Linked DNA regions of Sus scrofa. The protein of the gene in region 1 interacts with the protein of each later gene in a pairwise test. Links are inferred from orthologs where the notes say so. Each region holds a gene or a part of one and is shown in the gene's direction. Other genes may lie near its edges.

Region 1 (2,932 bases):
GAGAATCTGCCTCTATCTTTCAGCTTCTCTTAGGAAGAGGCTTCAGTCTCAGGCAGCCTGTCCTCTTGAGGTAGTGAAAGGAAAGCTTACCTGACCCAGATTTCCTCCCATCAGCTCTGCAACAAGCAGAAAGCAGATCTCTCCATCCAAACTTTTCAGAAACTGTCCCAGGGCAGCCTCTGATTGGCCAGTTTGAGTCACATGCCCAACCCAGAGGCAATCACAGTTGCCAGGAGAATGGGAATCTCTGATTGGCTTCTCCTGGGTCATGTGACTTCTTCTGGAGCTGGAAGTGGGGTCAACAGTCACCCAGACCCCGGGGGCGGGGGGGGAGAATGGAGCTGCCAGAAGTCCTCTCCAGGAACCACGGGAGGGAGGGAGTCTTGGTGAAGGGTACTTGGAGGTTCCCAGGAAGGAGGGAGTGATAACTATAGAACCTCCCCCACCACAAGATCCTGGTCAGGGATGGGCTCCCCGCTTCCTGTTTCTAGGACAACCCGTTCCGTGAAAGGATTGCCCAGGTCTTCTCTGAGGATGGGGATGGACACATGACCTTGGATAACTTCCTGGACATGTTTTCCGTGATGAGTGAAATGGCTCCCCGGGACCTCAAAGCCTACTATGCTTTTAAAATTTATGGTGTGTGCAGGGCCCCGGGGTGGGGAAGTGGGAACAAGGGTGGGTCCTGGGCCAGGGAATGCCCTGCTGTCACAAATATCTCCCCCAGGGCTCTGAGGTCCTGCATGGCCCAGTCCTTCACCCTGCTCTGGTACCTCCCACCTCATCCCTTTGCTCACTCCATTCCAGCCATACTGGCCTGGCTCTTTCTCCCAAACACAAAACTCCTTCTGCTTTCAGGCCTTTGCCTCTGCTGTGCCCTTTGTCTAGACTACCTTTCCCCTGGCTCCTTCTTACCTCGAAATTGAGGTCCAGAGTAGCCCTTGCCCCGAGTGACTCTCCATGCCACATAGTATTTCTCTCCTAGCATGGAGCAATGCTGCTTAATTTATTGTTCCTTCATCTGCTCACTTATAATTTCTCTCTGAGGAGACCCAAGGTCAGGGGTGGTGTGTTTTGTACACCATCTCTCTCTGTGTCTGGCACATAGTAGGTACTCAATAAATACTTGTTGAGGAGTTTTCACTGTGGCTCAGTGGGCTAAGAACCCAGCTAGTATCCATGAGGATGTGGCTTTGATCCCTGGCTTCATGCAGTGGGTTAAGGATCCAGTATTGCTGCAAGCTCTGGTGTAGGTCCCAGATGCAGCTTGGATCTGGCGTCGCTGTGGCTGTGGTGTAGGCTGGCAGCTGTGGCTCTGATTTGACCCCTAGCCAGTGAACTTCTGCAGGTGTGGCCCTAAAAAGAAAATAAATAAATATTTGCCAAATGAATGAATGAATGAATGAAAATTCATCACAGTGCCTGGCATACAGTAGGCACTCAATAAATACTTGTTGAAAGAGGGGATGAATAAGAAACAATTATCACATGCCTGACGCATAGTAGGTGCTCAATAAATACTTGAGTGAATGAATGACTTCCCAGCAGGTCCCTGCCCAATTCCAAAGCAAGATCCAGCTCTTACCCCCAGGGTCTTGTGTTCCTTCCAGTGCCTGAGTTTCCTCCGCTGTAACACGGGGACAAGATATACCCATGACTAGCCTGGCTTGCCTGCACCCTGCTGTCCCCTCACCCTCATGTCCCCTTCCATTCTGCTGTACAGACTTTAACAACGATGACTACATCTGTGCGTGGGACCTGGAGCAGACCGTGACCAAGCTGACACGAGGAGAGCTGAGTGCTGAGGAGGTGAGCCTGGTGTGTGAGAAGGTGCTGGATGAGGCTGATGGGGACCATGATGGGCGGCTTTCCCTGGAAGACTTCCAGAACATGATCCTGCGGGCACCAGACTTCCTCAGGTGATATTCCTCACTGCCCCACACAGTCAGTTCCCACCTCTGAGAGGCGCCCTTATGAAACAGGTTCACAGACTCCATTTGTGAAAGTTCCTTTGGTCATTCATTGGTGACCTCGGGAAATTTTCCCAACCTCCTTGTCTTCAGTCCCTGCGTGTTTAAAATGTGGATAATTGGCATTCCCACTGTGGTACAGTGGGTTAAGCATCTGATTGCAGCGGCTCGGTGGCTATAGAGATGTGGGTTCCAGCCCGGCCCAGAGCAGTGGATTAAAGGATCTGGTGTTGCTGCAGCTGTGGTGTAGGTTGCAGCTGTGGCTCGGATTCAATCCCTGGACTGGGAACTTCATATGCCACTGATGAAGCCATAAAAATAAATAAACTAAAATGGCAATAATTAGACACCCTGTTGACACCTCCTGTGTCACAGGGTCACAGCTCTTTGGGTGAGTGGAACACGCTTTGACTTCAGCCCTCACTTTCCTGAACATTTTGCAGTGAACAGACTACACAACTGTGCTTGGCAGCCCTGGGGAGAATCAGAGCCCCTGCTGCAGGGCAGAAAGTGGGGATTCAGCGAGTTAATGCAGGGGGTAGCCAGCCACTTTTTTCCATGCCTCCTGTGAACTAAGAAGGGTATTTATATTTTTAAATGGTTGGGGGGAAAAATCAAAGAATAATCATACTCCATGACACATGAAAATGATATGAAATTCAAATTTCTGTGTCCATTGCTAGTTTTATTGGTACACAGGCATGCCCACCTGTGTACATATTGTCTGTGGCTGCTCTTTTTTCTTTTTTTTCTTTTTACGGCCATACTTGTGGCATATGGAAGTTCCTGGGCTAGGGATCAAATGGGAGCTACAGCTGAGGCCTATACCACAGCCACAGCAACACCAGATCCAAGCCCCATCTGTGACCTACACCAAAGCCTGTGGCAACACTGGATCCTTAACCCACTGAGTGAGGCCAGGGCTTGAACCCACATCCTCATGGATACTAGTTGGGTTCTTA
Region 2 (4,376 bases), on another chromosome or scaffold:
AATTTCCTCAATTTTCTCAAGAATATCTCTCATAGGAGTTTCTGCCCACCCCAGCCCCCAATCATGATTGAATGCAGATTCAGATGCCTATTTGGTTTTAATAAAGAAATTATATAGTCTCTGGTATTCTGAAATATCTACCTCCCCCAATCCCTTCTTGTGTTTTCTTGAAGTTGAATTTCTGATAGGATAACCCTGTGGTGCTGTAGGCAGCCTACATTGTGTATTTGCCTGATTGCCTTCGTGTTTAATTTTTCACTCTCTGTTCCCTAGAAATTGGAGTTGGATCTAGACACTTGAGATTGAGCATCCATTGATAATCGCTGTCTGAATCAACCAGTCTAGTTAGCATTTTTGATGGCTTACTTTGGTCAAGGGCTTTATTCACAAACAGTTCTTCCCATAGGGCCTGAAGAGTTAGCAAACGAGCTACTGAAGAAGGTAAGACCCATTGTCAGTTTAGCCAACAAGTATAAAACTGCTGTCTACCTTCATCCCATCCGGCGTGTCTCCCCTTGAACTGTGCTATTACCACAACAGCCATTACTACGAAAGGACACGTTGTCACACACCACTTCCAACGTTTTGCACCAATTGTTTTTTAATCCTTAAAACAACCCTCTGGAGTTCCCGTCGTGGCGCAGTGGTTAACGAATCCGACTAGGAACCATGAGGTTGCGGGTTCGATCCCTGCCCTTGCTCAGTGGGTTAACGATCCAGCGTTGCCGTGAGCTGTGGTGTAGGTTGCAGACGCGGCTCGGATCCTGCGTTGCTGTGGCTCTGGCGTAGGCCAGTGGCTACAGCTCCGATTCGACCCCTAGCCTGGGAACCTCCATATGCCCAAGAAATAGCAACAACAACAACAAAAGACAAAAAAAAAAAAAAAAAAAAAAAAAACAACCCTCTGAGCCAGATGCTATTTGTCTGATTTTAGAGGTGGGGAAACGGAGATGCTCCTAAGAAACTAAAACATTTGTGCAAAGTCACACAGCTACTTAGGGAAGGGAGCCCAAGAAGGGGCTCCAGGGACATCCCACCCCTCCCTTCCTAGTTCCTGTAACCACAATTGAGTACACCTGCCCAGCATCTGTAGCGTCTGATATAGTGCTTTTACAGAGACGACCTTATTTTAATTTTACTAACTCTCAAGAGCTAGGCAAGAAGATCTCCCATTTAACAGACTCAGAGATGTCAAGCGTCTTTCCAAGTTCTCGCATCGAGTGAGAATTTGAACCCCGGGTCTATCTGGCTTAGAGTGTAGACCCCTGTTGGGGCTGGGTGAGTAAGAAGTTCAACTGCTGGAATTGGCGGGGCCGGGGGTAGGTGTGAGGGGGCAGCACAAGGAGAGACACAAACGCCACCCTCTACCGTCCCACAGGGCAAAGAGCCACCCCACCTTCTCTCCCCGGTTCCTTCACGAAGCTGCCCGGACATGCGCCCTGAAGACCACTTCCCCTCCTTTCGAACCTGCCCCCTATAGGCCCCGCCCATCGCCATCTAGGACCAATCCCTGAGTGGAGGGCGGGGCCTCCAGGGGAGTGGGCGGTAGCTAAGAGGAGTGGAGAGCCTGAAGTCGTGCGCTGGAGTCAGAACTCCGTCTCTCAAGCCAGGCTCCGGTTGCTGGAGGAGAGTGAGCGAGCAATGCTGCCGCCACCGCTTCCTGATTGGCTGCGGGTGGCTCCCTCTTCGTCCTGATTGGCAGTTTGTGAGCTGGGTATGTAAATGAAGGGAAGAAACCAGGGGAAAGAAGGGGTACTGGCCGCGGGGTCCTTTGGCAGGTTCGATCCCTGCGTCCGGCAGGTGCGAACCAGGGCTGTCTGGAATCGAGACGCACGGGCCTCTAAGGGCCGTCCGCCCCGGCCGGGCCGGGTGAATCACGCCGCAGCCCGGGAAGGGGGCGGAGGCGCCGGCTCTCTGGCTCCGGCTGTGTGACTCACCCGCCCCCGCCGCCGCCGCTTCGGGAGGAGTCGCCTCCACTGCCTTCCGGAAGCGAGCGGAGGCCGAGAGAGCAGAACAGCTCTCTGGGTATTCCGGCTCGCACGGTCCCGGGCGGCTGGCAGGAACGTTCACGTCCCGCGCGGCAGCATAAAGGGTCCGGGGGGGTCTGAGGAGCCGGAGTCCCCGGAAGAAAGCCGTCCTGGGGCCGCTAGGGGGCGCCGGAACACGGGGGAGGAGTCGGGGGTGGGGGCTGAATTCCTGCGGTTCCGGACTCCCGGGTCGGCTGGGAAGGAAGAGAGGACCCAGTTTTGAGTAGTGTGAGCGGTCCGTCTTAAAGTCCTGCTAGGCAAGGATCCCAGTACCCACTGTACCCTGCAGGCTGCCCGATTTAAAAAATCAGGTTGGGCCAGGGCACCACCCCGGGCAAAGTGTGGGTTCTCAAACTTCTCTCGGTGACCCCTGTGCCTATCAGGATTGTCCGGCAAGCTCTGTCCATTCTGCCTCTCAAATAAATCCTGAATCGACCAACTTCCTTCCATGGCCACTACCGCCTTTTACTCCCAAGTCACCATCATCGCCCACCCCAAGCCTCCAATGGATCGCAGTGCCACACTCTTCCAGCCTCCCTCCCTGTCCCTGCTCCCCAAAGCAGCCTAGGGGATCTTCTGGAAACCTAATCAGTCCACAACGCGACTCTCTTCCCTGCTCAGAACTCTTCAGTGACTGCCCACCACACTCACAATAAACTCCAAGCTCCTTGCCTCTGCCTCCTCTCCAACTCGCTCTTCTCCCTCCCTGCCCCCATGTCGCCCTGTGTACTGACCTCAGAGTTTTTTTTCAGTTCAAGCTGTTCCAGCCTCTAAGACTTTCTTTGCCTTTGCGGTTGTCCTTTATTCCCGGAATGCCTTCCCCCAGGTTCTTCCATGGCTACTTCCTTCTCATACTTAAGGGCTCATTTCAAATGTCACCTCAACATGCCACAGGCCCAGCCAACAAACAAACAAAGATTGTCAAAGTCACCTCGGAGGGGGAGCCTTCCCTGACTATGCTCAGATCCTTTTGGTATCTTCCTAGCACCTTCTAACACTTCCTGTATTTGTTTATGTATTGGTTGTCTGATACTATTAGTAGGCACCCCAATAAATATTAGATTAAAGCACGTGAAACAGCTGCCTCGCAGGTTAAAAGAAAGTTTAGACTATTGGACATTTTACATGTTTCACTGAAGAAATAAATAATAGTTATATTAATAGTATTATTTATGGGAGTTATTGTATACGTATTCACTGTTGTAAGTTCTTTTCGTATCTCACTTATTCCTTAAAACACCTCTAGGGGAGTTTCTGTCATGGCTCAGGGGTAACAAACCCAACTCTTATCCATGAGGATGAGGGTTCCCTCCTGGGCCTCGCTCAGTGGGTAAGGATCCAGGGTTGCTGTGACCTGTGGTGTAGGTCACAAATGAGGCTCGGATCCCGCATTGCTGTGGATGTGGCCAGCAGCTACAGCTCCAATTCAATACCTACCCTGGGAACTCCCATATAATGCTGGTGTGGCCCTAAAAAGACCAAAACCAAACAAACAAAACCTCTTGGAAATAGATACAAATATCATTCATATTCTAAAGTTTCCCTAAGAAAGGCTAAGGTCAGAGAGGTTAAGTGATTTGCCCAAGATCACACAGCAGTTGTCAGAACTTCACGTTGGCTTTCCATAACTGACTGACTGTCCTTCCTTGCAGATGATGCTGAGCAAGGGCCTGAAGCGAAAGCGGGAGGAGGAGGAGGAGGAGGAGAAGGAAGCCCTGGCAGTTGACGCCTGGTGGCTGGATTCTGGCCACCCAGCAGTGGCACAGGCACCCCAGTCGGTGGCCTCCAGTTCCCTCTTCGACCTTTCGGTGCTCAAGCTCCATCACAGCCTGCGGCAGAGTGAGCCGGACCTGCGGCACCTGGTGCTGGTTGTGAACACGCTACGGCGAATCCAGGCGTCCATGGCACCCGCGGCTGCTCTGCCACCTGTGCCCACCCCGCCTACATCCCCTGGTGTGGTGGACAACCTGCTGACCAGCTCGGACGCCGCCCTCTCGGCCTCCATGGCCAGCCTCCTGGAGGACCTCAGCCATATTGAGGGCCTGAGTCAGGCCCCCCAGCCCCTGGTAGATGAGGGGCCACCAGGCCGCCCCACTGGGGGAGCCCCACCCAGCCTGGGTGCCTTGGACCTACTGGGCCCGGCCACTGGCTGTCTGCTGGACGATGGGCTTGAGGGCCTGTTTGAGGACATTGACACCTCCATGTATGACAGTGAACTTTGGGCACCAGCCTCTGAGGGCCACAAATCCAGCCCGGAGGGTGGGCCAGGCAAGGAGGAAGCTCCAGAGCTGGACGAGGCCGAGCTGGACTACCTCATGGACGTGCTGGTAGGCACACAGGCACTGGAGC

What was found.
Region 2: the proteins of CIB3 (region 1) and SERTAD1 interact in binary tests that used the Homo sapiens proteins (3 or more experiments, as listed by UniProt). The two-hybrid records come from large-scale screens. The link is inferred for Sus scrofa from reciprocal best matches to the Homo sapiens genes CIB3 and SERTAD1.

The regions. Positions count from the first base shown.
Region 1 is NC_010444.4:61,410,590-61,413,521, forward strand, and holds part of CIB3 (calcium and integrin-binding family member 3), read left to right. Parts: intron 1-491; coding exon 492-639; intron 640-1,723; coding exon 1,724-1,919; intron 1,920-2,932. UniProt on the Homo sapiens protein: Acts a an auxiliary subunit of the sensory mechanoelectrical transduction (MET) channel in hair cells. Plays a role in regulating hair cell MET channel localization and function.
Region 2 is NC_010448.4:48,699,613-48,703,988, reverse strand, and holds the start of SERTAD1 (SERTA domain-containing protein 1), read left to right. Parts: upstream 1-1,540; 5' UTR 1,541-1,714; intron 1,715-3,679; coding exon 3,680-4,376. UniProt on the Homo sapiens protein: Acts at E2F-responsive promoters as coregulator to integrate signals provided by PHD- and/or bromodomain-containing transcription factors. Stimulates E2F1/TFDP1 transcriptional activity.